Linked DNA regions of Callithrix jacchus. The protein of the gene in region 3 purifies or fractionates together with the protein of the main gene of each other region. This does not show direct contact. Links are inferred from orthologs where the notes say so. Each region holds a gene or a part of one and is shown on either strand. Other genes may lie near its edges. The genes, in order: SMARCD2, NCBP1, KPNA1, MAU2, MTA2, ANP32E and NOPCHAP1.

Region 1 (3,651 bases), on a different chromosome or scaffold from region 3:
AGGTTGCAGTGAGTCAAGATCGCACCACTGCACGCCAACCTGGGCAAAAGAGCGAGACTCTGTCTCAAAAGAAAACAAGAGGCTGGGCGTGGTGGCTCACACCGTAATCCCAGCACGTTGGGAGGCCAAAGTGGGAAGATTGCAAGGTCAAGAGTTTGAGACCAGCCTGGCCAATATAGTGAAACCGTCTCTACTAAAAATACAAAAATTAGCTGGGTGTGGTGGCATGTGCCTACAGTCCCAGCTACTCGGGAGGCTGAGGCAGGAGAATAGCTTGAACCTGGGAGGTGGAGGTTGCAGTGAGCCAAGATTGCGCCACTGCACTCCAGCCTGGGCAACAGAATGAGACTCTGTCTCAAAGAAAAAAAAAAGAAAAGCTTCTCTATGGATAGGAAAGGAGAAAGGAACTACCTTTATCTTCTAGTCTAGTAGTTTTCAAACTTTTGATTACGACCTATAAGATTTACATTTTCTTTTTTTTTTTGAGATGGAGTTTCACTCTTGTTACCCAGGCTGGAGTGCAATGGCACGATCTCGGCTCACCGCAACCTCCGCCTCCTGGGTTCAGGCAATTCTCCTGCCTCAGCCTCCTGAGTAGTTGGGATTACAGGCACGTGCCACCATGCCCAGCTAATTTTTTGTATTTTTAGTAGAGACGGGGTTTCACCATGTTGACCAGGATGGTCTTGATCTCTTGACCTCGTGATCCACCAGCCTCTGCCTCCCAAAGTGCTGGGATTACAGGCTTAAGCCACCACGCCCAGCCAAGATTTACATTTTCAATTATGACCCAAGGTCTGCATATTTATCTGAAACAAAAATTTCATGAAAGAATACCTTTACTACTATGGTTAGTACTATTGAGAAGTATTTTTAGATTTTCTACTGTCATACATTCATTTGAAACATACTGGTCCCAAGACATTCCAGAGTTTGGGCTTTACTAGCAGGCTGCATCCTGCATGTGAAAAACCAGCTCTAGCCTGACTCGTTTGGCCCCTGGAAAACAAGTGGATGGAGGGCAAGGAAACCTGGGATGGCTGGAGGCGGTCAGGGCCACACATACCGTCAGAGGCTTTTTGATGGCCTCCTGGATCTCCATTCGTTTGCGAGCAATGGTCTGGTCCAGCTTCCGCTCAAAAGCCAAGAGATCCATGTAGGCCTGAGACTCTGGGACAAGCTCCCGGATCTGGAGGAAGGTAGCAGGAGCTCATCAGCTCGCTTCAGCCAAAGCCTGACTCTTTCCTCCCTTCCTCCTGCAGCCCAGGGTTCAGGGAGATGGATGCCCACCCCCAGGCGGCCACTGGGCAGGCCTCCAGGCCTCCTCTCAACACTTACTCGTTGAGGTAGAACCTTATCTGCCATCTTCCTCCTCTTTAACCTGGGGAGGACAGAAACCCACTTAAGAGGTCAATGGTCCAAAAAAGGACACTTGCCCCCCAACACCCCTCCTGTCTCCAGGACCCTCTACCCCAGTTCCTCAGTCACCAGAGCTCTTAAGATAGAAGCAAACCCTCTACCACCACCAGAGCCGAGTTAGGTAGAGTGGGAGAAACAGGATGCTCTTACCCCCGGCGCTGGGCAGGCATGGGGGGCTGCACCTGGGGCACAAGCAGGCGTTTTCGGAATGGATCCATCATGGTAGGTGGCATGCCAGGTCGAAGTGGAGCTGCAGCACCAAATGGGGAGCCAGCAGGGGGTCCCACCTGCAACCCAGCCATGGGCATCCGGTTCCCTGGTGACATGCCAGGTCGCTGGGGGAAGTGAGCCAACGGGGATGCATAGGTCAGGGGCAGGGCCCTCTGGGACCCATAGCCCATGCCCTCCATCCCTCTCGTCACCTAGGTCGGGCCTGCTGGAGCAGCAAGTCAGAGCCCTGCTGGAGCACCAGGAACAAAGAGGAGCGGGCACCTGAGCACAGAGTGTAAACCACACCTGCCCTGCCCCCTGCAACCACCCTGGCAGCTGTGCCAGCAAATGAGGCCTGCCAGAACCTGGGCTGGGAGGAGGGTCCTGCCTGCAGAAGGAAGGGCCTAGGGGAGCTTTTCAGGGCCCATTGCCACCTTCCAGCCCCAGCATGCTGTGCCCTATTCCTTGGGACAAGCCTGTCCCTATTCCCTCAGATGGTCTCACCAAGCCCTGCCCTCCTCTTTCCCCCATATCATGAGGGAGAAGCACAGTTGGGAGGCATGGGGGCAGTGTCACTGCCAGGCAGAGGGGTGGGTGTACTATGGTATGAGCAGGCCAACGGGCAGAGCCCCAATTCCTATCCTCTGTGGCCAAGGGAGAAAGGGGTCGGGTAGGCAGCAGCACCCCAGGTGAGCAGGGCTGCAACAGGATGGCTTGGAATGTGTACCAGCTGGTGGGGGTGGCCTCAGGCAGGGTACAGGGATAGTCTGGTCACCATGAAGCCCCTATCCACAGCCCAGAACTGGACCCTCCTTTCACCTCCCTACTGCCCTACTACCACCCCTATGCCAGAAGACCCCAGAAGGGAAGCTATGGCTCCTGGGTAGCCTGTGGGAAACAGCAGCTGGGACCTGGACTCTGCCCATGGTCTAGGCACCACCTGACAGCCATGACTGGCTCCAGCTCCGTGCAGCCCCGGCAATCCCAAGCTAGAGAAGGGGATCTAAAATGATCCTGGGAGGCAAGGATCAGAGGCCCAGGCTGAGCAACAGGAAAGTGGGAAACAGAAATAGTTTCTTTAGATGCCTGCAGGATTTCCCACCTGAGGCCTTGCTCCCCAACATTTCTGTGGAACCCATCTGAGAGTCACCTCCGCCCCTCCCTCCCATGGCTGCTGCCTGCAAGGCCTGTTTGGCAGCTCTGCCTCGCACACACTGTCCCTGGCAGCTTCACAGGGCTGGCCCCAGGGCCCAGATTATGCAACGAGCACAACCAGCCAACCAAGCCCAGGAGGGTGGAGACTTGTACCAAATCAAAGGACCCTCCCCCACCCCAGCAACAAGGAGATGAGATTTTTCCCCAGCCTCTTCATCTCACACCAAACCCATGTTCCCAACACAGAGGGTCAGATTCTTGACCAGATGTGGAGATGGAAAGAAACATGACCTACAGACATGAGGATGGGGAGAGCAGGAGCACGGTGGGAGGAAGTGTTTGGGAGAATATAAAGCTCAAAGTGGGGGGCTCTGGGGCTTTGGGAGTCCTGCCAAAGTCTCTCTCCATCAGGAAGAGATTAATCAGAGCTGTTGAAAGGCAAGACAGCCTCTTTCTCTGCCTTAAGGATGGTTCTTTCTCTGGCCTGAGATTACAGAAAAAAACGAAGTGTGGCTACAGTTGTAAGCTCAGGGTGCAGACATCCCAGACTTGAGATTTTTCCTAGTGCCCGAGACAAAGACAGGGAAAATCGAAGCAGTGGGTCCTGCAGAGTGTGAGCGACAGCCCTGTGACCCCCAAGAAGCTCCCTGCTGGGGCTTTCACAAAACCTGCAGCACCACCCATCCCTCCTGGCCAGGTACTAGGGGGAACAGGAAGTCCCAAGACAAGGCCACACAGGCGAGGCCTGGAATAGGCTCCACCCAGACATCTGCCACAGACTTCCCGGGCCCAGAGCCCCCAGCTCACTCAGGGCCCCAGGGGAAGGCTGCTAACAGTTTAAGTCCCAGCCGAGCCTTGCCAAGCTCC
Region 2 (3,651 bases), on a different chromosome or scaffold from region 3:
ATTACAGGTGCCCACCACCATGCCTGGCTAATTTTTGTATTTTTTGTACAGACAAGGTTTCACCATGTTGGTCAGTGCTGAGGTTATAGGCGTGAGCAAAAGTATCCGGCCTGAAATACTCTGTGTGTTCCTCTATAAGCCATTAATATACTCAAATTCTTACAGGACTAGACACTGGGAAAGCTTTTAAAACTGGCAGTAACTGGCCAGGTGCAGTGGCTCACGCCTATAATCCCAGCACTTTGGGAGACCGAGGCAGGTGGATCACCTGAGGTCAGGAGTTCGAGACCAGCCTGACCAACATGGAGAAACCCCGTCTCTACTAAAAATACAAAATTAGTTGGGTGTGGTGGTGCAGGCCTGTAATAACTGTTATCCCAGCTACTTGGGAGGCTGAGGCAGGAGAATCACTTGAACCCATGAGGTGGAGGTTGCAGTGAGCCAAGACTGCACCATTGCACTACAGCCTGGGCAACAAGAGAAAAAATCTATCTCAAACAAAAACCCCCAAAATTGGCAGTAATATAAAATCAGGAATTCCTAAATAAATAAATAAAAAATAGGGAATTCCTATTTGGAAGCTCAAAGAATTGAACTTAAAAAAAAGGGGGGAAGGGATAGTATTAGGACAAATACCTAATGTAGATGACAGGGTGACAGATGCAGCAAACCACCATGGCACATGTATACCTATGTAATAAACCTGCACATTCTGCACGTGTACCCCAGAACTTAAAGTATAATAAAAAATAAATTTAAAAAATGAATTCTACATTAATCATTCTCCTAGAATGAACAAATGAAGACGTAAGGGAGTAGTGTCTGAAGACACAATTAGTTCCACTTTCCTATATATCTTTAACTTAAATCTGGGTGAGAATAGGTTGCTTCTGCAGAGAGACCCTAGGGAGCTTACCTTGATTCTGTGGACACTGTTTATCATCTGAACACTGGATTTTTAGGGACTTATAAATCCAATGACTGTCCTCTTGACATTTTTGTCCTCTACATTTTATATTATAGCTAGAATCCCTAGAATAGAAAATGGCAAGTAGGAGACTGGGCGCTGTGGCTCATGCCTATAATCCCAGCAGCACTTTGGGAGGCCGAGGCAGATCACCTGAGGTCAGGAGTTTAAGACCAGCCTGGCCAACATGGTGAAACTCTGTTCCTACTAAAAATACAAAAATTAGGAGTAGTGATAGGTGCCTGTAATCCCAACAATATGGGAAGCTGAATCAGGAGAACTGCTTAAACCAGGGAGGTGGAGGTTGCAGTGACCTGAGATTGTGTCACTGCACTCTAGTCTGGGCAACAGAGACTCAATCTTAAAAAAAAAAAGCGAGTGGGGGAGGGGCATTAGGAATCTAAGTGGTATAGAATCAGTTTAAGCCTAAATATTCTGATGAGCAATGGTAGCAGCAAATGGACATGAACTAAAGGGTCTAACAGGTAGGTACTATGAAACCTCCTCACAAATTTGACAAGGATTGGTTTTAAATCAAAAATCTTTGTGGCTGTGAATAGTGCTGTTTATTATCTAATTGAAGTTCTCCATGTACCTGTAGGAAGATCTGCTGCAGCCTCTCTATACAGTTCTTATACCATGGTGTTAATACACTGGTCCCATCAGTTTCGCATCGTACTAAGTGCTCAGTCAAGATCATGATAAACCGCTGGAAAGGGAGAAGGAAGTTAAGGTAGTACTAGAGATAGAATCTTTGGAAAAAAATTCATGACAAAGAAACTCCAAACTACTGCTTGTTCCACCCTGTCTTTGTGGTGTGTGCTCCTAACTTTCATTATTCATTAAGTCAACCTAAGGCAGACTGGTAATAACATGAGTTGGTACATAGTTCCTAGCAATACATAAAGACCTTTAATGTCTTAAATTACTTATCCTAGTAATATTACTTCCTGACATCTATTCTAACAAAATAATCAGAAATGTTAACAGGAATCTATGTATCAAAATGTTCATGGAAAAAAAATGATCAGCAAAGAGAATAATTAAATGAGATGTATTTAACAACAGCAACCCACAATTTTGTTTTAAAGCATGAAGAAATGCTCATGCAAGAATGTAAACAGCTGAGAAACTCAGAGACATACATAGTTGCCTGAGTAGTGAACTTTTATTTACTTCCAAATTTTTATATTTTTAATCTCTTCTATAAATGAGTGTGTATTCCTTTTATAATTAAAAATAGTATTTTTAAAAACTAAAAAAATGCATTGTTTCTTTTTATGTATAAATGTCCCAAGCCAAGATACCTGAAATATGACAAGGAAGAGATTCTTTTGTTCACTCTGAGCAGATTCCACTTTTTCCTGAAGTCTTTCTATTTGTTCCTCAAGAGCCCCATCTTTCCTATCACTGCTTCTGTCATCATCATCACTTCGCTACAGAAGGCAAGGGAACAAAAGGAAAATACCATTTAGAATTCCAGTGTATGAAATCCCCTCCAGGGGAAGGATTTTATTGTGGCTGGCCAAATGTTAAAGGCTTTTCTGTAGTAAAAGTATCCCCCACTCCACCACCCACACATATATACCTCAAAGTCCTGTTGTGGTTCAGAGATACTATCTTCTCACTCAAATTCCATGGGTTCTTATCTAGGCCAGGGAAATTTTGTGGCACTTTTCTTGGTAACAATGTGGGGGACTTGGCTCTAATTTATCACTATTTGGCCGTTTGAGTAGTAACAACAAAGAGGCAGCTTGCTTATCATTCATCTCCTAATGGGCCATATAAAAAAACTGGGCCAGTCCTATGCACCAAGGCTGCTCATTCTGGTCATAATTTAGAAATAGCTACATAGTTTAGAAATGACATACAATAATTCAAAGTGGCTGTTTAAGACTTTCTGCTGGCAATCATGGGTTCAATATACTCCTGTAAAGCTTTAATAATTCTCTCCTAGCTCACTCTGAAGACTTTACAGCATTTTGATTTTTTTTTTTTTTAAAGGAAAAGAAAAACAAGCCATGGTTTACTTCCATTTTACAGAGAAGGGAACAGGCTGAGAGGTTAGATGACTTTCCCAGTATCACCCAGCCTGAAAGTGGCAGAGCCAGAACAGGGCTCTCGGTGTTACATACCAAGTTACTTTCAACAAGAAGGTGGCATCACTGAATCTAGAAAGCCGGGAAATTCTTTGAGGTGATACCGTTACGGGCCCACCTACTGGTCTCCTCTATGCTTTAAGCAAAATGATCAGAACCCCACTCTCAGATGTCATAGAATCTTGCTTTTCTCTCTATAAACTCAGCCCCTGCTTATGAGGTCTGCTTTACGTTCTAGACACTTGGGTACATGACTGTCTTTTCCTAAGACCACTCTGAGGTAAGGTTCTAGAGTACTACTACCTAACAGACCTTTCTTCAACAGGGCAAACGTTTTATAAATATGTACAGCCTCTTACAAGAGCCACCGCATGTTACTACGTAGCACCTGAAATGTGGTTGTGTGACCAAAAAACTGAATTTTAAACTATTTAATTTTAATTAAACTAAAACGGTCACATGCAGCTAGTGGCTACTGGGTTGGACAGCACATTTCTGAAACAGTGTGGCATGAGAGAAAGTCTCTGGAGTCTGACAGACCTGGGTCAGAACCTAGCTCAGTCATTAGCTATGCAACCTACTAGC
Region 3 (3,651 bases):
TTAGTAGAGTCAGGGTTTCGCCATGTTGCCCAGGTTGGTGCCAAACTCCTGGGCTCAGGCGATCTACCCACCTCTGTCTCCCAAAGTGCTGGGATTACAGGCATGAGCCACTGCACTGGCTCAATATTTTTAAACATTAGTGAAACACAGTATCAAATTTCCCTAATAATATGAAGTTAAATACTATAATAGAAATATGATCATGAAGTTCAATGTACTGTTTTTTTGTTTTGTTTTTTTGAGATGGAGTCTCGCTCTGTCACCAGGCTGGAGTGCAATGGCACAATCTAGGCTCACTGCAATCTCCACTTCCCATGTTCAAGCAGTTCCCCTGCCTCAGCCTCCCAAGTAGCTGGAACTACAGGCGTGCACCACCACACCCAGCTAATTTTTTGTATTTCAGTAAAGACAGGGTTTTACCATGTTGGCCAGGATGATCATAATCTCCTGACCTCAAGATCCACTTGCCTCGGCCTCCCAGAGTGTTGAGATGACAGGTGTGAGCCACCATGCCCAGCCAATGTAGTACTCTTTTTAAAGGAACAAAGAAACAATTATCACTTCTTCATACCTGTGTCTGAATATCATCCCCTGTGACAATGTTTCCCACAGCTCGCAAAGCAGGAGAAACCACTTTATAATCATTATGCCTGAAAAAATAAAAAGTAATGTTATAGCCAACAGTTCTATCCTTAGTCTCATTTCCTTAGAACCAAAATTAAAAAAAATTATGATAGAATTTTAGAGCAGAAAGGTACCTATGGGGGTAATTAAGGGAACTCTTATCATGTCCCCTACTGTCTTTCCCTTTATTTTAGTACATTTGGAAAAAACTACCAATCTTTCCTAGGAATCTTTCCCAGGTATTCCATCACCTGGATTCCAAGTTTTCCCTCTCATTCTTTAATTTAGGTTTCATTTCCTCTTTACTTGGTCTTGTATGGTTGCTGAGATAACGGAGAACAATAGTTAATATTTATGCAACATGTTTTAAGTTTTATAAATTGTCTTAATTTTCACAGAGGTTAAAAACAACACATCAACAGCCGAACTAACTTGAAAATGCAAGTCAGGAGTCACACTCCAAATATAAAGGTCTTTCAACTAAACCTACTAAGCTGCCTTACTGGTTGAAAACCCCTCCCTTACTGGTTGAAAATCCCTCCACAAAGCTATACATACACACACACACACAAACTTTTGATTTTCTTTAAGGGTCCTACTTTTCCCGCCCCTTTAATAAGGCTGATCACTCATCTAAAAACTGCCAGTTCCTTCACATTTTAGATGTGATTATTAAAAAGAAATGGCTAAAATATATAGTAGTCTAATGGATAAAGAATGCAAAGGTTTACTTCCCAGATTTTGAATGATGTACTGACTCCTGCAGCATCATACTGCCTGCCATTCATTCACATTAGCACTACAATACTGCTCTGCATTCAGTCTGCAGCCAGCTATAATGTTGTATTTTGTATTAACATATTATAACTATCTAATCTATTCCAAATGTCATGTTTGAGACAATGTCTCCTCGCATCTATTTTGTACTTTAATTAAATTTCCAGTTGCTTGTAGTTGTACCATTTCTCCATTATGTTATCACTTTTTTCTTCTGTCGTATCTAAAAATTTGATTAAGACAGTCTCAAATTATTTATTTAACGAGTAAATCTTCTACTGCATTATCAAAAGCAGCACAAAGGTGATAAACCAAAGTAAGATTCAGTTTCTGATACTTGTCTTAAATAAGCTCTAAATGAGACAGAAAGATAAGGAATGACTATTTTATTGGCAGTGTATCTTCTGATGTCCAGTGGTTGATCTCGGGTCATCCAGTATGAGACTGTAACTACACAGATCAGAGTTTTCCAAATATTTCTGCTAAAGGCCTGCTAACAGCAGAGGAGTAAGAGGTTCTCTATAAGCCTCAATAAAACAAGACAAACAGATCTGCCATCAACATAAACAAGTAACAAAAAATAGTAGCCCAAAGCACAATAAACCAATATAATATACAATCAATTAATATTTAAGTATTAGTAGCTAGAAAACTAGTACCAAGGGAAAAAAAGTGAACACACTTTCTAAAACATATCTTACATCAGCAGCTCCACAAGTCTCCTACATACTCCCGCATCAATGACTGCTTGAATTTTATCATTGGGTCCATCTGATAGATATGAGAGGGCCCAGCAGGCATCAGCCAGTACATCAGTGTCACTGACAAACAGCAACCAGGAAAGCACATTCAGACATGGGGAAACCTATAAAAGGAAAATGATGATTATGAAATCCAACAGACTAGAAGCCAGAAGTGAGGTGAGATACTCAAGAAGGCAGCCAGGCATAAATTTGGTGACTTCTTGAGTGATTTACACTTCTCAAGAAACAACAAGTACCTAAGTGGCAGTTCCATCTTTAACAATGCTGTCAGTGGTCTTGCACTAATTTGTAGTCAGAGCCCAAGGAAATTAATTTCAGATCATAAAGTTTTATATACATCAATTCTTGGAGTGAGATTCCTTGTCAAAACACATTCTTTGTGGACTAAAGAGGTAAAGAAACTTTCAAAAATGTGAAAGCTAAGAAATTCTGTATTTTAGATACTTTAGACCAAAAATGCTAGGGTTTTAAGATGAATTCAGTGAAAAATGATTCCAAATTAAAAACAACTACCAAAAAAAAATCCTGTTTCTTCTAATATGCAAAATATACAAGAAACTCAAATCAGCAAGAAAAAAACAATCCCATCAAAAAGTGGGCTAAGGACACAGACGATTCTCTAAAGAAGATATACAAATAGCCAAAAACCATTTAAAAATGCTCATCGCTCATCACTAATTATCAGGGAAATGCAAATTGAAACCACAATGTTATACCATCTTACTCCTGCAAGAATTGCTATAATCAAAAAATCAAAACAGGCGGGATGTGGTGGCTCATGCCTGTAATCCCAGCACTTTGGGAGGCTGAGGTGGGTGGATCACCTGAGGTCAGGAGTTCAAGACCAGCCTGGCCAGCATGGTGAAACCCCATCTCTACTAAAAATACAAAAATCAGCCGGGCATGGTGGTGTGTGCCCATCATCCCAGCTACTCAGGAGGCTGAGGCAGGAGAATCGCCTGATCCTGGGAGGTGGAGGTTGCAGTGTGCTGCACAACTGCACTCCAGCCTGGGCAACAAGAGCGAAACCCTGTCTCAAAAAAACAAAAACACGATAAATGTTGGCATGGATGTGGTGAAAAGGGGAATGTAAATTAGTATAACCACTATGGAAAATAGTACAGAGATTCCTTAAAGAACTGAAAGTAGATCTGCCATTTGATCCAGCAATTCCACTGCTACAAACGTGCACAGATACTTGCACACGCATATTTACAGCAGCACAATTCACAATTGCAAAATTATGGAAACAGCCCAAATGCCCATCAATCAACAAGTAGATAAAGAAACTGTGATATATATACCATAGAATACTGCTCAGCCATAAACAGAAACAAAACAACGGCATTTGCAGCAACCTGGATGGAACTGGAGACCATTATTCTAAGTAAAGTAACTCAGGAATGGAAAACCAAACATCAGATGTTCTCATTCATAAGTGGGATGTAAGCTATGAGGGCACAAAAGCATGAGATTGATACAATAA
Region 4 (3,651 bases), on a different chromosome or scaffold from region 3:
AACTCCTGACTTCAGGTGATCCATCCACCTCAGCCTCCCAAAGTGCTGGGATTACAGGTGTGAGCCATCGTGCCTGGCCAAAATATTCTCTAAAAAATAATAATAAAATCAATAAGAAAACAAAAAAGGCTGGGCATGGTGGCTCATGCCTATCATCCCAGCGATTTGGGAGGCTGAGACAAGTGGATCACCTGAAGTTGGCAGTTCGAGACCAGCCTGACCAATATGGATAAACCCCGACTCTACTAAAAATACAAAATTACCATCCTGCCTAACACGGTGAAACCCCATCTTTATTAAAAATACAAAAAATTAGCTGAGGCGTGGTGGTGTGCACCTGTAGTCCCAGCTACTTGGGCAGCTGAGGCAGGAGAATCGCTTGAACCGGAGATGGAGGTTGTGGTGAGCAGAGATCGTGCCACTGAACTCCAGACTGGGTGACGGAGCGAGACTCTGTCTCAAAAAAATAAAAAACAAAAAACCACACACAGAATTAGCTGGGCGTGGTGGTGCATGTCTGTCATCCCAGCTACTTGGGAGGCTGAGGCAGGAAAATCAGCTGAACCGGGGAGGCAGAGGTTGTGGTGAGCAGAGATGGTGTCATTGTACCACTTAGGCCTGGGCCATAAGAGCGAAACTCCATCTCAAAATTAAAAAAAAAAAAAAAAAAAAAAGGAAAGAAAATTCAAGACCTTGTGAGATCAGGTGGGTGAGAGCAGGTGAGGAATTGACAGGAAGGACTGAGGCAGCTGGTCCCGTCAGAGACCAGCTGGCTTTGGGTAGGGACCAACCCCAGGGGGCACTTGTACCCTGAGAGGACGCTTTGCATGCCAGGCAAGGAGGAAATGTTTGGGATTCTGGCTGAGAGGAGGTAATTTCCCTGCCCCTTGGGTGTCCACAGGATGGGGTGCCTGTGTCATCCCTGCCAGCTCAGGGCAGCTTCTTTGGCCCTGGCTTCAGCTCCCCTGACCCCTGGAGCTCTGCCTGCCCGATGTCTGAGGCCACACCCATTGGGCCTCCTGCCTGCCCCCACACCCTCCGTGGGTACCCAGCTCCCTTGCCCCTGCCTGCCCAGACTGGCAGCCAGGGTGCCCACCTAGACACACTCTTCAAGGGGCATAGGATGAACAGTGCCATGCTGCCCCTAGGCTGCTAGCTGGCTCCTGTCCCTCAGCCAGCCCCACAGGCACCCAAGCAAGGGGCCCAGGCCAGGGCACTCACTCTATGGTTTCCCAGCACGTAGAAGATGTGGCCCAGGAGCACGAGAGAGCAGGCCGTGAGCCGGTTCAGGTCCTCGGCATTGGACATCTTCAGAGTTTCCCGCAGAAATCGCCTGACAAGGAGAATGCAGACGCTGACACCTGCAGGACAGGGCCTGGGCCACCCTGAGCACAGCCCACCCGCTGCCCTCTGCCCTGCACTCACTTGGCCTCATTGTAGCGTCCCTGGAAGAAGGAGAAGAGCCCGCGCACATAGAAGGCAGCCGCTCGGAGGCAGTGTGAGCTGTGGGGAGAGTGTAGTGTCACGTGGGGTGGGGATTTAGATAAAGCAGCAGGTTTACAAAAACGGCAGTGGGCAGGCAGCGGGGGAGGGATTTCTGAGAGCCCCCTGCTGCAGACTGTCTGTGAGGAGGGGTGTGGGGTGTCAGGGTGCAAAAGGCAGTTGGGGGCCCCACCTCAAAGAGCACAGGGAGCCTAGGCCATGTGTGGAGTGGCGCCTAGAGCGGCTCACCTGACAGGGAAGCTGTGGTCTGGGTTGATCCTCTCCAGCAGACTGTAGAGCTAGGGGAGGAAGAGCCAGTCAGCACCACTCTGCATTTTCACAGAGGAAAGGTCCCCACAACGCACTGCAGTACATGGGCATTTCTCTACACTCCTGTAGGGACTGTGGCTGACCAGGTAGAGCCTGGTGACTGACCAGCGAGTGGTCTCTGGTGAGAAAGGCCAGGGGCAGGACCCTCACACCCTCGACTGGCCCTGCCTGTGCCACCCTGTCCTGTGGTAGGTGACGGGGGCCTGGGTGTCCAGGAGGCCTCTGTATGGTCAGAGTGACGCTGAGGGGCAGTGGGCAGATTGGCAGGCTGGGGTCCATGAGCCCTGTGGGCCGGTGGGGGTGAATGGAATTTCTCTGGAGGTGCAGGGACCCTGTGAGGCTCTGATGGGGGCGTGATCTAGTATTTTAGATGCCCTCTGGCTGCAGAGGCTCAGGGGAGCCAGGCTCCTCCTCAACACTGCGAGCCCACATCTGGCATCAGATGACCCAGTCAGGGCTGGATCACGGCTCATTGTAGCCTCAACCTCCTTAGCTCAAGTGATTCTCCTGTCTCAGCCTCCCAAGTACTTTGGACCACAGGCCTGCACACCCACACTGGGTTATTTAAAAAATTTTTTTGTAGAGATGGGGGTCTCACTATATTGCCCAGGTCTTTAACTCCTGACCTCAAGGGATCCTCCTGCCTTGACTTCCCAAAATGCTGGGATTACAGGCATGAGCCACTGCCTCAGGCCTGAGACACTTTGGAGGCAGACTCCAAGGGTTGAAAGGAATACTAGAACTGAGGGATGTCTTAGAGCTGAGGGGGATCCCAGGGCTGAACAGGGAATCCCAGGGCTGAGGGGGATCCCAGGGCTGAAGAGGGAATCCTGGGGGCTGATAAGAGGATCCTAGGGCTGGGGGGGATCCCAGGGCTGATGGAGGATCCTAGGGCTGAGAGGAACTGCAAAGGGAACCTGACTCTTGTGAGCACTGGCTCAGAAGTCCACGTCAGAGTGCTTGGCCTATGAGGACAACCCTGGGCGCCCCTACCCAACACTGGAGCCAGTGAGGGCCCCGACCCTGCAGGGGAACCAGTACAACCTGGGGACAAGGTGCCCCAGCTGCTGTCCCTTAGGGCTGGGCCTCAAGGCCTGGTCGATATCCTAGAGCAGAATGCTTGGGCTATAAGACTTTGTCTGTGGGATTCATATAGCTTGGCTATGGGAATGTTGTTGTCCCAGACCTGGCCTCCCTTGATCCACCTCTGGGTCACCCTGTGTGCCTCTGTGTCAAGTGCACCCATCCCTCAAGGTGAACACCCTGGGGTGTGCTGTTTGCTGAGATTTGCTGGTGCCCAGGACAACCCCCTGGTTCCCCAAAAAGAAGAGAATGAAGAGAAAGGATACCAAACATGAAGCATGTCACCTACTACCTCTTGGTGCCTATTTCCTTCCCGTATATACACACTCGCCAGGTTGGTGACGATGAAGGCCCACAGCTCCTGGTGGTTCGTGAGCTGGAACGGGAGATGGGGACGTTAGGAGGCTGGGCTGGGTGCTGTGACCCACATGGCAGTGTCAGAGCCACCCACAATCTCCACGGAGACTACTTCAGAAAAGACTTGTTCTTTTCATTTCAAATACACTTGCCTTGCCTCCAATACCCAAGGGTAACACAGTTATCAATTCTTCTCATTATAAACCATTGTCTGCCCTACGGAGCAGTTAGAGAACAGAGAAGAGAAAAACCTGAGGCCGGGAGCAGTGGCTCACGCCTGTAATCCCAGCACTTTGGGGGGCTGAGGCGGGCGGATCATGAGGTCAAGAGATCGAGACATCCTGGTCAACATGGTGAAACCCCATCTCTACTAAAAATATAAAAAATAGCTGGATGTGG
Region 5 (4,327 bases), on a different chromosome or scaffold from region 3:
ACACAAGACTATTTACAGTTATTTTCAATTTCAGGAGATTCTGCTCTAAAACATCACATGTGGCCCTAACTATCCCTCATTTTCTAATAATAGTTCCTGGGGTTTTCAAGGACAAGACCTCTCAAGCTAGTGGCAACACCTTCCTCCCCAAGGAGCTGCAGCTTGCCCTGAAACCTTGTGGAAGGGGTTAACCTGGCTAGGCGCCAACCAACGTGGGAGGGGACAGAAGAGCCTCAGGCCCAGGCTCATTGGTGCATTGTTCCCAACCTCAGGGAGAAGGGGGGTTGTGCGGTAGGCTCCACCCCTGGCCTATGTGCTCCGGAAACCCTGTGCTAAGGCAAGGGGGACCACACCCCCAACACTCATTCTGATTGGACAAGGCCAAGGTCAGCCCCTGCCAGATGGGGCTGGAAACCCTAAAGGGCCAAGGAACTTGGTAAGCCGGGATCCTTCTTAACCCCTTCTCACCCAGAACAGTCTGAAAAAGGAAAATTTAGAAAGGTGGAACAAAAGGAAGGAGAAAGAAAATCAAAGCAGGAAAGGAAAAAGAAGCTGAGGAAAACATGTTTCTTTGTGTTGTTTTTTTTTTTTAAAAAAAAAGATGAGAACTTAAAGAGAATGAAGACAGGGCAAAATGAAAAGGGAAAGATGTAAAATGGAGTGGGGGCCGGGAAATGGGTGAGGTAAGAAATGAAAAGTACAAGAAAACTTTCCTACCATCTTCCAGCTTCCAGGTATTCCCACCACCTTGTGATTACAAAATGAGCCTACTTCCCTGTTATGCGGGCCTCTCAGAACAATCTCTTCCTCTTCACCTTGACCTTCAGTCACCACCTACTGTTCTAATGTACACCAAACTGTCCCCCTTTAGAAAAGCATTCTGCTTCTCTGAAGTTCATCCTCATCCCCTAAATAAACATTATCATCTCTCTCTTACACTCATACACAAACCATATTATAGCTTTCCTTATCACAATCTCTCCACCCTGCTTCCAACCCCAACGTGTAAAAACAGGCCTCCCTCCTCAGACCAGGTATTTCCCACCCCTAAATTCACACCTCTGCCTTGGGCATGCTACCAGGAGAAACTCCTGCAGGGACATGCCCAGGCCTCAGATCATGGGGAGGGGGAAAAGAAAGAGATGAAGGTACTCACTGGCATTACTATCAGCCAGGCTGTTGAGACTACTAGAAATGTCCCTGCGCCGGAAAAGACAGACAACCTTTGCCTCCACATTTCCATTTGCAGTCTAAGGAGAGAAAAAAAAAATGTAGCAGTGAAAAATTGATCATCTGGGTACAGAAATGCACAGAGACAAATAACAGTAAGTTTCAGAGGAACCTAAATAAAAAATCCCAAGAAAATAGGAGTAAAGACTTACATTCAAGGACAGACTTCCAAATCCCTTTCCTTTGCCCCCAAGAGACAGAATAGTAAGTTCCTGCTAAGCTCTCAATAGCCTTTCCTGAATACATCCAATGAATGAATGAATGAATATGAATAGATACTTAGTATAGAGTCCTCTCTTCCACCAGAAGTTAGAAACCTCAGAAGAAAGAGACCACTGGGGGAGGGAGGGAGAGGGATTCTGCTCCACTCACCTTGTTGAGCTCCTCAATCCGTCTAACCAGGTAAGGATTGCTAGAGGAGTTCTCAAAATAGACGTAATCTGTAAGGGAGGGGAGGGGGAAGAACCACGAAGATCAGAGGACGAGACGGGAGACACAGAGCACGAGAGTAGGAGAGAAAGTTGGCCTGAGTGGACCAAAAGAAGATAAAGATCCAGGTAGAGAGGGCGCTGAGATGTGAAAGTGGAAAGACTAAGAGAAAATAAGGATGTTCCCCATCCCCACCACGCCTAGTTCTAAAATCGGATCCTTCACAGAAAAGTGAGCCTTAAGGAACAGGCAAGAAGCAGGGGTTCCCCTGCGTCCCCACAACTCAGCTATGAGTTGCAGCCCAGTCGCGGCGAAGTCATTGTTCACGCTGGCGCTGGGCCCCCACCTTTTCGAACCGAGGCGCACAATAACGCCTGGGAAGAGGAAATCTCCGGGCGGCTCCCCCGCGGTGGCAAAGCCGTCGCCCCAGCCCCTCGCGTCGCCTCCCTACCAGGTCAGCTCCTTCTGAACCAGTTTCCAAAGCCCACTCTGTACCCGGGGGAGCCCCCGACGCAGCCCTGAGAGTGCCGTCGGGGCTGCCCGCAGCTTCTCTCCGGGAGTCTCGGCACCCTGCCGCGTCGCGGTCGCCGTTCCCGCACCCTCACTTCCCCGCTCCCAGTCTCCCGGTTCCGGTTCCGGTCCGCGCTCGGGTCCACGCTGCCCCAGACGCGGCGCCCCGCGCCACCAGGTGCGGAGTCCCTCCGGTCCCGACCCCAACATCTCCCGCCCCGGGCCCCGCACCCCTGCGCCCGGTACTCACCCCCCACCCGGTACATGTTGGCCGCCATGGCCGTTCCCGCCGCCGCCTCCGGCCGCACAAAGGGGTCCGGAAGGCTCGCGGAGGCAGGGCTCGGCTCGAGGCAAAGCCCCGAGCGTGGGGCTGTAGCTTCAAGGGAGTCTCAGTGGGGCCCGCGCAGCCGGCACCTCCACTGCCTCAGCCGTCGCGGTTCATCCCGGCCCGCGCTGTCGCCGCGGCAGATATCGCCCCACTCCCGGGACGCTGAGGCCGGCCCCGGTCCGCTCGGCTTCTTCCGGAACGAGCTCGGCTCCTGCCAGGCCAGAGCTAAGCTCCAGCTACCCCCGCCCCCGCCGAGTCCCACTAGTCGTTGGGATCTGCCGGCCGCAGGGAAGGCTTGCCCGGCCCGCCTCGGGGTTCGCCTCCTTCCGGAACACCTTCGGCCGATCCGGAGAACAAGGCCCACCGTTCGGCTTAGGTCGTAGAGCGAGACCCCGCAGATCGGCTACTTCCGGAAGAGGTTCGGCTCCTGTCGGCCAACAGCGGCCCGGCACTCGGCTATTTCCGTCGCAGCTCGGACCCACCCCATTTTTCCGAGGGCGGGAGAGAAGTCGGACTTAACTGTGTACTCGCTGGGTCCCTGCAGCTTCTCCTGCCGCCCCGAAAGACTCGCGCGCCTTCGCGCTTAACCAGGTTATTTGCAAGCGGCTTTGCCTGTTATTTGCATAAATGGTCTACGCTCCCTTACCCTTTCCGCACGCCTCTTTTCCTTCGTCCCCACCCCACAAGGCCCCGGAGGCCCCCAGCAGCGCCCCACAAAAGCACCGGGAGGCGACTTTGGTTCTCGTTTATTGCCCCTCAGCAGGCAGCGGGAGTCAAGGCCTAGGCTGGGGCTGCCCAGCTCAGCCAGCGGGTCTAAACAGTGTGTGCAGGGGCGCCGTTCGCGCCCTCCAGGGAAATGCGCGATCGGGAATGTCTGGAAGTCAGTCGAGGAGTCAGCCCCGGGTCTAAAGGAACTAGGGCGGGGCGGGGCGGGTCCACGCCTTCAGCCAGTTGGTCCGCCAGGCCGAGATCAAACGTCAAGGGAGGAGGCGGGGGACAGGGAGGGGGTTCGAGAGGGCGTGGCGGGCGCTGGCCCCGCGCCCCCTGCTCCCAGCATTCGCCACTGGAAGATGCTGGCATCCTTGCCGCCCAGCGAGACGAGGTGCGAGTCGTCGTACGTGAACCGGACGCTGGTCACGTGGCTGCCGTGGCCACCGTACATGCGGCTCGGCGCCTGGACAGGAGGGAAGGGAGTTGCGGTGGCGGCGGAGCCCTCGGGCCCACCCGTCCTGTCCCGCCCCACCCCGCCCCGGAGGCCCCTGCGGCCTCACCTTGGCACGAGCACACGGGTACTGGAAAAGATGCACTTTGCAGAAGTCGTCAGCCACCGCCACCACGCGCTCATTGTGGGAGCGGCACAGGGAGTTGATGTCGGTCCCATCGGAGCCGTCCGGCCACACGCCTAGCACAGCGGCCGGCCTCAGCCCGACCTCCTCCCCACTGCCACCCACGGCCCAGAGCTGCACTATTTCAGGCGCTCCGGCAGCCACGGCCACCCACTGCCGCGTTCCAGGCAAGCCTTCCCGGTCCCGAGGGCCGGGGGGGGGGGGCCTCCTGGGCTGGATCTTCAGGTTTCTGGACTCCCACCCAACGACACACGCCCAGCGTTTCGAGCCCAAACTGGGCTCCACCTTGTCCCCCGCCCCTCCAGCAGGGTTCCACGCCCCTGCTCACCGTAGACGTGAAAGCCCAGCACACAGGTGTACGTAGCCCACTCCCGGTCTCGGCTCTCATAGCGATTCTTCAGCTGCTTGCAGCCTCCAGCCACATCCCCTGGGGAGAAGGAGCTCAGCTCTCACCCCGCCCTCAGTCAGGAAGATGCCAGGGAAA
Region 6 (4,429 bases), on a different chromosome or scaffold from region 3:
CTAATTTTTATGTTTTTAGTGGAGATGGGGTTTTACCTTGTTGACCAGGATGGTCTCGATCTCTTGACCTCGTGATCTACCCGCCTCGGCCTCCCAAACTGCTGGGATTACAGGCTTGAGCCACCACACCCAGCCTGTTTAATCACTTCTTTAGTTTAAACCCCCTTCCCTTTGGTTGATAAATGCCATCATAACTCAAAAGAAACCTCCTTACCCTTCATGAAGAAATGTTAGAAAACTTCTGGGAACAGCCCAGAGGGTGTCATTTCTTCTCACATCCAGGCCAAACAGTATCACCCAGAACAATACATTCTTAACAAAATGTTACTTCTCCCTACCACTGTGGTATAATAGCATTTCTGTGCACTTCTCCCCATTCCTGAGGAAGTGGGGCTGAATTCCCTATTAGGTAAGAGTTGTAGTAACAAACTTCCTGGTGTAGGCCTGAATGGCCTTAATCTTTAACGGAAAGGCCGAAGACTGTAGTTCTCTACACCCAAGGCGAAAACTTGTTTGAGGTATCTGTGAGCTAAAATTTAGCAACAAGGAATCCCACCTTCTCTATTTGAATATGACTCTGAGAAAATTATTTCTGTGGTCAGAGAGAGCATCTTGAGCTCCGTTCTGGAGAGGAGGAATGGCCCAGAGGTCAAGAATGACATGCCTAGGCCCATAGTTTGTTTGTGACAGGGCTGTGTACTGGTTCAGTGTTCTGACTCCACTCCGTTTAGCTGAGGGGTGGGGGCTGCTACATTTGGTGTCAGAAAACCAGTTCCTCCACTTGTGTAACTCATTTCACCGCCCTGAGACTCCCATCTGCTAATTTGGAATCTACAACACAATCTACCTTACAAGTAAGGAGGAAAGTAAATAACAAACGGGAAAAGTGCTTTGTAAACTGTCTATACAAATATAAGAGACCGTTATTACAACAGAGCGGAAGGAGCTGAAAAACGGCAACGTCCTGAACACCCCAAAACTGGCAAAGAAATTACTACAATCACTAAGTGAAAGAATCCTGGCGGGGCGGGGGGTGTCCAATTTTCCAACCCAAGCCACCAAAAAGTATTCTAAACGTGTGCTTCTGAGAGACAGCTTTTAAAGTTTGAGTTTTTTTCCTGAAGCCTCTAATAATAAGCTCTAGAAACAAGCTCTCTCCGGGATGACCCTGATATCCCGTATCCCCTCCCTGGCACCTGCCAATTTCAGGAAAACAGGGACCTAAAAATAAAAAAATTTAAAAAGTGTGAGTTCCCACTCCGCACGCCGGACGCGAAAGCTCAGAGCTTGCTCATCTTCTCTGCGGGTCTGCACAGACACCACCCCAGTTATATGCTATCGATCGGTCGGTCCAGCTCTACACACCTCCCTCATATTCCAATTCTAGAGCTTATTTCAGCAAGACTGCTGCTTTCCTCCGCGAGCCTCCCCGCTGGCCACCCGCCCCGCTCTCGCGACCTGCCGCTCCGGCTGACGGGAAACCCCACGGGGGGCGGAGACTCCCCAGGGGAAAAAGGGGTCGCCTCCCAGCTCGCGCTGCCGTCCCGCGTTCGCCCCGGGTAGGTGAGGCCCAGGAGGCAACCGCGAAAACGAGGCGGAAACGCCTCCCGCCCGACCCCAGAAAAGTTGACCGCGACCCCGCCTCGCGTGGCCCCTCCCAACCCCGTCTCTTTAACTAAGGCGACAGCAGTGAGAGCGCATCATTTAGTTTCGCCGAACCCATCTTTGAAGCACGAAACTACTACGTCCCTTTATGCTGAGTTTGGTGAAACCGTCTCCAGGGATCAGAGTTGCGGCCACACGACGTGCCAAATGTCGTTGCACCGCGCGGGGAAGAAGCGGATTACACCTCCCGTCCCCTCCCCACCTCCGGTCACTGCGACGAGTCCCCAAACTCGCCCGCGGTCGGAGAACCTGCCGCTGACCCAGATTCCGCCGGGTGGCGGGCGGTGCGCGCGGCTTCCCGGAGGAGTGGGCGCCTCCGGAGCAGACCGCGCGCGGACCCTGCGAGCGACCCCAGCCCGCCACCGGCGCGACGTCGGACGCCCAGGGCCTCGAGGCCGGGGGAGCCCACCCCCAGAAAAGATGAGTTGGCCGCACTGCAGAAAAGTTGGACTAACTTCTCAGGCGCCGATGGCTGCGGCAGGGGCCGAGTGGGACTGGGGGTTGCGCCCACGCCGCCGGCCCCGGGGAGGAGGAACGCCGGGAGCCGAGCGGCGGAGCGCCCCCACCAGCCCGCTTCCCGCCCCCACGAGGCCCGGACGCCCGACTCGATGAAAGCCGAAGGAGCTAAGCTCCCATGCACACACAAAAACGCCCCTAGAAACTTCAACCCTTCGCCATTTTAAGTAGAAGATTTTAATGATTTAAAACTTAAAATTAAACAATTCTCCAACCCTAGCCCCGGGGGGTGGGGGCTAACTTATTACTCCATCCCCGCACATCCACCGGGATCCCCAGAAACCCGATCCTCAGAATACAGGACTGATGGGGAAGGGGTGGGGGCTGAGTCATCTCACCTCCTCCGGGGCTCTGTTCCTTAACTCCAGGTTAATCTTCTTCTTCATCTCCATGTCCTCCTCTTGCTCTTCAGCTACTACTCTCCTTCCTTTCCCTTTCCTGCCTTTCCCACCACCCCCAACCCACAATTTTTAGGATTCAGAAATGAATGAAAAGGAACGCAAATATAAACGCCCACTACCACCAGATAGGTGTGAGGGAGAAAGAAGAGAATAGCAAATGGAGTCCAAGAGTTGGGACTCTAACTAAGCTGCCCCCACCTCCTTGTCCACACACTAGCGCGCGCACACACACGCACGCACGCGCGCACACACATACACACACACACACATACGCACACACCCGCAGTTCCTTCTCCTTCAATGGCTGCTCAGAGACTGAGCCTCCATGACACGGCACCGCCAACCCCCTGGCCTACACTCCACCCACCTCCCAAACGTATTGGTTGATTCTTCAGCGTCACATGATTCCATTGGGCAATGTAAACGTCTATCAGTCTTCAGGGAGGACCTGGACCAGAAACTCCGTATCTATTGGCTACGATCAAGCGCGCAGTTAATTTCGATAGGTCCAGGAGGGTGTACGTCCCGGAGAAATGATTTTGAATCCCAGTAGCCCCCCTACTTTTCTTTATGTAGTTGGCGCGCTTTCCCTAGGCACTCGGACGGTTTTGTTGCCTGTTGGAGTTGGTTTTTGGTTTTTTATTTCTTATTCTGTTGTTAGTGTTAAAGAGGGAGAAAGCATCCTTCCGTGCCCAAGTTGCGATACTGATAATTCACCACATGGCACGCACCGGCTGTTGGCCGTTTTAAAAGCACAGACTCTGCTTTGCAGCCAAGGTGTACAGCAACGCGCGCATCACATTAAAAAGATGACTTCGTGGCATTGTCCTGCTGGGGTCAGGCTTTTCACAGAGCCTGACCTTCCGTGATGCAGAGCCAGAGCCGAGATTTTAAAGATGGTAGTTTAACACCGTAAAAGACAACAATTTTGAAAGCAGCTGGGTGAAGTATGTACGTTAATAATATTTAAATAAAACGATCCTGGAGGAATTGTTACTGAGCTAATTGTTGCTGTAATAAACACTAAGACCTTGGCGGAAAAAACAACGCTGGCCTAATGAAAATCAGACATTAATTAGCATAGAAATGGCACAGCAATGCCTGTCTAATTTCCCTTTGGTTGGTTTCCATGGAAATCTGTAGGTAAAGTAGTCTTTTAAAAGTGTTTATCCTTCTCTGCCTTTTGGCTAAGATCAAGTGTAGAATCTGTTCTTATCAGTTTACTATCTGATGTATCTTCTCTCCGAGTCCAATATATTATATGGATTTTTGAAGCAGGAAGACGGACTAGGAGCTTGCTTGTCCACTTCATGCATGGACCTGGTATTACAGTACAGAACCCCTCAGGGGATTCAAATTTGGTGTTCAAGACACAAGAAGAAAAGTTTATCTATGTGGGATGGGATATGAAAGATTAAAATAAGAATTATCTTTTGGCCGGGCATGGTGGCTCACATCTATAATCCCAGCACTTTGGCAGGCCGAGGCGGGTGGATCACCTGAAGTCAGGAGTTCGAGACCAGTCTGACTAACAGGGTGAAACCCCATCTCTACTAAAAATACAAACTATTAGCCGGGCATGTTGACGTGCACCTGTAATCCCAGCTACTCCAGACGCTGAGGCAGGAGAATGGCTTGAGCCTGGGAGGCAGAGGTTGCGGTGAGCCAAGATCCAGCCATTGCACTCCAGCCTGGTCAACAAGGGCTAAACTCCATCTCAAATAAATAAAGAAAATGTAAATGCTTTAAAGGAAAACAAAACGATGGTTGTCTCTACAATGTTTCCTTTGAATTCCCTGCAAAGGAAATTTTGTGAAGGCGAAGAGAGGGGGAAAAGAGTTTTTAGT
Region 7 (3,651 bases), on a different chromosome or scaffold from region 3:
AGTTGGGATATATTCTGGAGGTAGAGCTGACCAGACTGACTAATGAATTACATATTATTCACAACTGTCTCAGCTCTGTCCAGGCAGAGATATTATAAAGAGAATTCCAGTGCAGAAACAAGAGATGAGTATAAACGAGAGAACATTTTTACACAGAGCCTATGTAATCAATTGCTCTCTTCCACACATCATTTATTTTTATATACTGAATAAATCAGACTATAACTACCTCTTTTGGAGCTTGGACAGAAAAAAATCCAGTTAGGACATTTAGCAAATTAATGCTTCAGAATAACAAATGTAATATTTGACTTGGGGAAAAAAAAAACCCTCCTATGACATATGACTAAATCATAAAATGACTATGTACCTATACAACATTCGAAACATGAGCTAACACCAGGAAAATGACACTTGAAAATAAAATGGAAAAGTTCTCTCTTCTTCTCAGGTAGCAAGGTGAACTAGTAATTTCACCATATGAAAACAAAGCAGTTACCATTTGTATAACTTTGCCATGAGTCCCATCAATGTTTTCAATGTTGAAACGACCAGGTGGTGCAGCTGCCATTTCTTTTCTTAGCTTTTCATTTGCCTGTGCCATCTGTGGGAGAAAGGTCTGTACCTGATCCAACACTGTGGAAAGTAAATACAGTATATCAACATTTATGCCAGTAAATTCTGAAACTCAGGATTTCCTATAAACACTTCTGAATTGAGTACTAATAATAACAACCATAATTATATATCTTTTAATTCCCTTCTTTGAAAAACCCTTCATCCTCTTCTGAATAAAGCAGTAGGACAATACAATTCAGCAAAAAATTGTTTTCAAATGTTTTTATGTTTCTCATATATCCCCAGGACCGTAAACTCTTAGAAGGCTGGCATTCAACAAACAGTAACTAAATAGGGAGGCAGTGTGGCTTAACAGTTAAGAGTACCAGGTTCTGAGGTTTTAGAGTAAGACTGACTAGGTTATATATAGAATCCTAGTTCTACCTCTATCTGAATTACCTTGGGCCTGCTAATTAAGTAGTGGTTATTTCTGCCTACCCAACATCTGTTCCCTTTCTTCTGATCATATAACCCCGGCTTTCCTTTTAAGCTTGTGTCACTTTTAGTCACTCTTGTCCCTCACCCCATACATGCCTACATCCTCCATATCCTTAGTCACTGTAATGTGCTTTAGTGGCATACCAGTGACACAACGCTCTAGTCGGGCCAATAAGTTAACTCAGGGCCTTTTGTTGATCTGTTGAGAGAGAAATCTTGCTGAATGACTGACTGAGTTGCTGAATATAAGGCTGAAGCTCCTGATAAACTGGCAACTTGCCACACCTGAGATAAGAGCATGCCCTAGATTAGGTCAACACTAGGAAAGCAGAAATAAGAGACAGAGTGGCTGATCCCTGAGGACTTTGAGCACCTAGATCCAGATGTACCTGAAATCACCACCCCTGGAGTTTTTTTCCCCAATAAAAACAGCCAACATAATTTCTTTTTTTTTTTTTTTTTGCTTAAGGCTATCTGAGCTGGATTTTAGTCATTTGCAACCAAGAGTCCTAATTAATACATTTAATTATTTAATTTTACCACTTGAAACCTAATCTATAAAAGAGGAGTGATAATTGTCAGCCATTGTGCCAAGTACAGAGCAATCAATGAACTAAGGATATTTATTTATTTTTCTCTCTCGAAAGAGGCCCAGCACATAACCATGCATATAACAGGCTCTCAAAACTTATGTCAGTGCTATGGCTACATAATAGATGACTAAAATGTCCAGAGTATGGAAGAAGAAATAAAGTGGTGGTCAAGGTCAAGTAGATGACCTTTATTTGTAAAATAAGGTGCTGGAAGGACTCCCCAAGAGCATGTTCACAAACAAAGCCCTACACAATAGTGAAGGGTAGCTCTTATTCCCCTTCAGAGAGACAGAGAAATTACTGATAAAAATAAAGTTATTTCTCTGTCCTCAGATTTAAATCTATTGCTAGAGATAGAAAATCTGGTTCTGTTTTGTTTCCAACTAATGAATCAAGTAGAGCAAAACAAGAACCAAAATGTGTGGCCTGAACCGTGATTCTCAGAAGCCAAATATTTCCATGGTACTCTTGGAGAGTATATGCTGAACCCTGAGGCTAGTCCAGTTGTAGTTCTTCTAAATTAAATAAAATCCATCATACAAACCATAAGATTCAAAATGTCCAGCATCTAATAAAAAATTACCAAACATGCAAATAGATAGGAAAACCAAATACATAAAGAGTAGGGGAAAAAAATAGAAATAGATTCAGAAATGATACAGACAGAATCAGCAATAAGAATGTTAAAACTGCTCTTACAAATATGCTCTATATGTTTAAGGAAGAAAAGCAAAGCACAAACCCAAGGAAAGAAACAGAAGATGTAAACATCTCAAACTTCTAGAGATGGAAACTGTATCTATCTTGAAAAAACATATTTGATGGAATTAACAGATTAGACAATATAGAAGAACAGTGAACTCAAGAAAATCAGCAATAGAATCTATCCAAATTGAAACACATAACATGCAATACCCAATCAACGAGCTGTGGGGCAACTTTAACTGGCAAAATTAGGTGTAATTGGAGTCCCTTTGGGAGAGGCAAAGCAGGCACGACGGGAGCAACAACAACATAATCTCTAAAAAGTTCCCCAAATTTGATAAAGATTATAAACTCATAGATCCAGTATGTTCAACAAACCCAAGCTCAAGACGCACAAAGAAAACTACAAAGGGCACCTCACCATAAAATTGGTAAAAGCCAGTGATGAAGAGAATCTTAGAGGCAGCCAGAGGAAAAAGGAAACACCATATTCATGACACAAAATGACAGTAGACACTGGCATCAGAAACAATGCCACTGAAAAGACATCTTTAAAGTACTAGAAAAAAAAGAAAAAGCAAAACACCACACTGTCAACCTAGAATTCTAAATCCATTATAGCATCTTCCAAAAACTGAAAACAAAATAAAGACTTCCTCAGAAACACAAAGGCTGGTAAGTCTATTGTTGGCAGAGCCGCACTATTACGAATGATGTTTACCATAAGAACCTGATTTTTTTAAATGCATTCAAGATTTGAACAGGCACTTCAAAAAGATGCACAAATAGTGACACATGAAAAGATGCTCAACATTATTAATCATTAGAAACAAATTAAGATTACAACGTGATACCACTATATCTGCACTAGAATAGCTAAAATTAAAAAGACCATACCACATTTTGATTAGGATGTGTAGCATATAAACTCTCATACCTTGCTGGCGGAAATGCAAAATGGCAATTTCTTCTTCATAAAAAAGAATTTTACACCTTCCATATACCTGCAATCCCACTCCTAAGTATGTAACCCCTCAAAACAAAAACCTATATCCACAAAAACTGATTTTTGGATGGACAGCCACCATGAGGTCATTTTAGCTATTATGGATTTACTGCTACAGAAATAATGCTAAGGTTAAATTCCCCTTTCAGAGTACTCATGATTTCTTAGTTTATTGATGTGACACCTTCACGCTTATTTACATAAGTTTTCATTGAATTCTTGTCTTTTTTTTTTTTTAACATTAAGAGTGAATTACACGGTGGCTCACGCCTGTAATCCCAGCACTTTGGG

Evidence for each region.
Region 1: the proteins of KPNA1 (region 3) and SMARCD2 purify together in Homo sapiens (affinity purification with mass spectrometry; 3 studies listed by BioGRID and IntAct, with this or other methods). This does not show direct contact. The link is inferred for Callithrix jacchus from reciprocal best matches to the Homo sapiens genes KPNA1 and SMARCD2.
Region 2: the proteins of KPNA1 (region 3) and NCBP1 purify together in Homo sapiens (co-immunoprecipitation; 3 studies listed by BioGRID and IntAct, with this or other methods). This does not show direct contact. The link is inferred for Callithrix jacchus from reciprocal best matches to the Homo sapiens genes KPNA1 and NCBP1.
Region 4: the proteins of KPNA1 (region 3) and MAU2 purify together in Homo sapiens (affinity purification with mass spectrometry; 3 studies listed by BioGRID and IntAct, with this or other methods). This does not show direct contact. The link is inferred for Callithrix jacchus from reciprocal best matches to the Homo sapiens genes KPNA1 and MAU2.
Region 5: the proteins of KPNA1 (region 3) and MTA2 purify together in Homo sapiens (co-immunoprecipitation; 3 studies listed by BioGRID and IntAct, with this or other methods). This does not show direct contact. The link is inferred for Callithrix jacchus from reciprocal best matches to the Homo sapiens genes KPNA1 and MTA2.
Region 6: the proteins of KPNA1 (region 3) and ANP32E purify together in Homo sapiens (affinity purification with mass spectrometry; 4 studies listed by BioGRID and IntAct, with this or other methods). This does not show direct contact. The link is inferred for Callithrix jacchus from reciprocal best matches to the Homo sapiens genes KPNA1 and ANP32E.
Region 7: the proteins of KPNA1 (region 3) and NOPCHAP1 purify together in Homo sapiens (co-immunoprecipitation; 3 studies listed by BioGRID and IntAct, with this or other methods). This does not show direct contact. The link is inferred for Callithrix jacchus from reciprocal best matches to the Homo sapiens genes KPNA1 and NOPCHAP1.

Annotation. Positions count from the first base shown.
Region 1 is NC_133506.1:89,116,786-89,120,436, forward strand, and holds part of SMARCD2 (SWI/SNF-related matrix-associated actin-dependent regulator of chromatin subfamily D member 2), read right to left. Parts: intron 1,755-3,651; coding exon 1,570-1,754; intron 1,382-1,569; coding exon 1,339-1,381; intron 1,190-1,338; coding exon 1,067-1,189; intron 1-1,066. UniProt on the Homo sapiens protein: Involved in transcriptional activation and repression of select genes by chromatin remodeling (alteration of DNA-nucleosome topology).
Region 2 is NC_133502.1:145,796,599-145,800,249, reverse strand, and holds part of NCBP1 (nuclear cap-binding protein subunit 1), read right to left. Parts: intron 2,404-3,651; coding exon 2,275-2,403; intron 1,677-2,274; coding exon 1,563-1,676; intron 1-1,562. UniProt on the Homo sapiens protein: Component of the cap-binding complex (CBC), which binds cotranscriptionally to the 5'-cap of pre-mRNAs and is involved in various processes such as pre-mRNA splicing, translation regulation, nonsense-mediated mRNA decay, RNA-mediated gene silencing (RNAi) by microRNAs (miRNAs) and mRNA export.
Region 3 is NC_133516.1:80,579,124-80,582,774, reverse strand, and holds part of KPNA1 (importin subunit alpha-5), read right to left. Parts: intron 2,267-3,651; coding exon 2,103-2,266; intron 651-2,102; coding exon 572-650; intron 1-571. UniProt on the Homo sapiens protein: Functions in nuclear protein import as an adapter protein for nuclear receptor KPNB1. Binds specifically and directly to substrates containing either a simple or bipartite NLS motif.
Region 4 is NC_133523.1:18,025,936-18,029,586, reverse strand, and holds part of MAU2 (MAU2 chromatid cohesion factor homolog), read right to left. Parts: intron 3,272-3,651; coding exon 3,185-3,271; intron 1,782-3,184; coding exon 1,732-1,781; intron 1,504-1,731; coding exon 1,426-1,503; intron 1,334-1,425; coding exon 1,222-1,333; intron 1-1,221. UniProt on the Homo sapiens protein: Plays an important role in the loading of the cohesin complex on to DNA. Forms a heterodimeric complex (also known as cohesin loading complex) with NIPBL/SCC2 which mediates the loading of the cohesin complex onto chromatin.
Region 5 is NC_133511.1:119,871,021-119,875,347, forward strand, and holds the start of MTA2 (metastasis-associated protein MTA2), read right to left. Parts: upstream 2,826-4,327; 5' UTR 2,448-2,825; coding exon 2,420-2,447; intron 1,671-2,419; coding exon 1,603-1,670; intron 1,251-1,602; coding exon 1,157-1,250; intron 1-1,156. Other genes in the region: EML3 (echinoderm microtubule-associated protein-like 3), read right to left, coding at 3,468-3,671, 3,769-3,899, 4,172-4,270. UniProt on the Homo sapiens protein: May function as a transcriptional coregulator. Acts as a component of the histone deacetylase NuRD complex which participates in the remodeling of chromatin.
Region 6 is NC_133519.1:10,158,854-10,163,282, forward strand, and holds the start of ANP32E (acidic leucine-rich nuclear phosphoprotein 32 family member E), read right to left. Parts: upstream 2,900-4,429; 5' UTR 2,574-2,899; coding exon 2,520-2,573; intron 1-2,519. UniProt on the Homo sapiens protein: Histone chaperone that specifically mediates the genome-wide removal of histone H2A.Z/H2AZ1 from the nucleosome: removes H2A.Z/H2AZ1 from its normal sites of deposition, especially from enhancer and insulator regions.
Region 7 is NC_133510.1:107,923,232-107,926,882, reverse strand, and holds part of NOPCHAP1 (NOP protein chaperone 1), read right to left. Parts: intron 637-3,651; coding exon 500-636; intron 1-499. UniProt on the Homo sapiens protein: Client-loading PAQosome/R2TP complex cofactor that selects NOP58 to promote box C/D small nucleolar ribonucleoprotein (snoRNP) assembly. Acts as a bridge between NOP58 and the R2TP complex via RUVBL1:RUVBL2.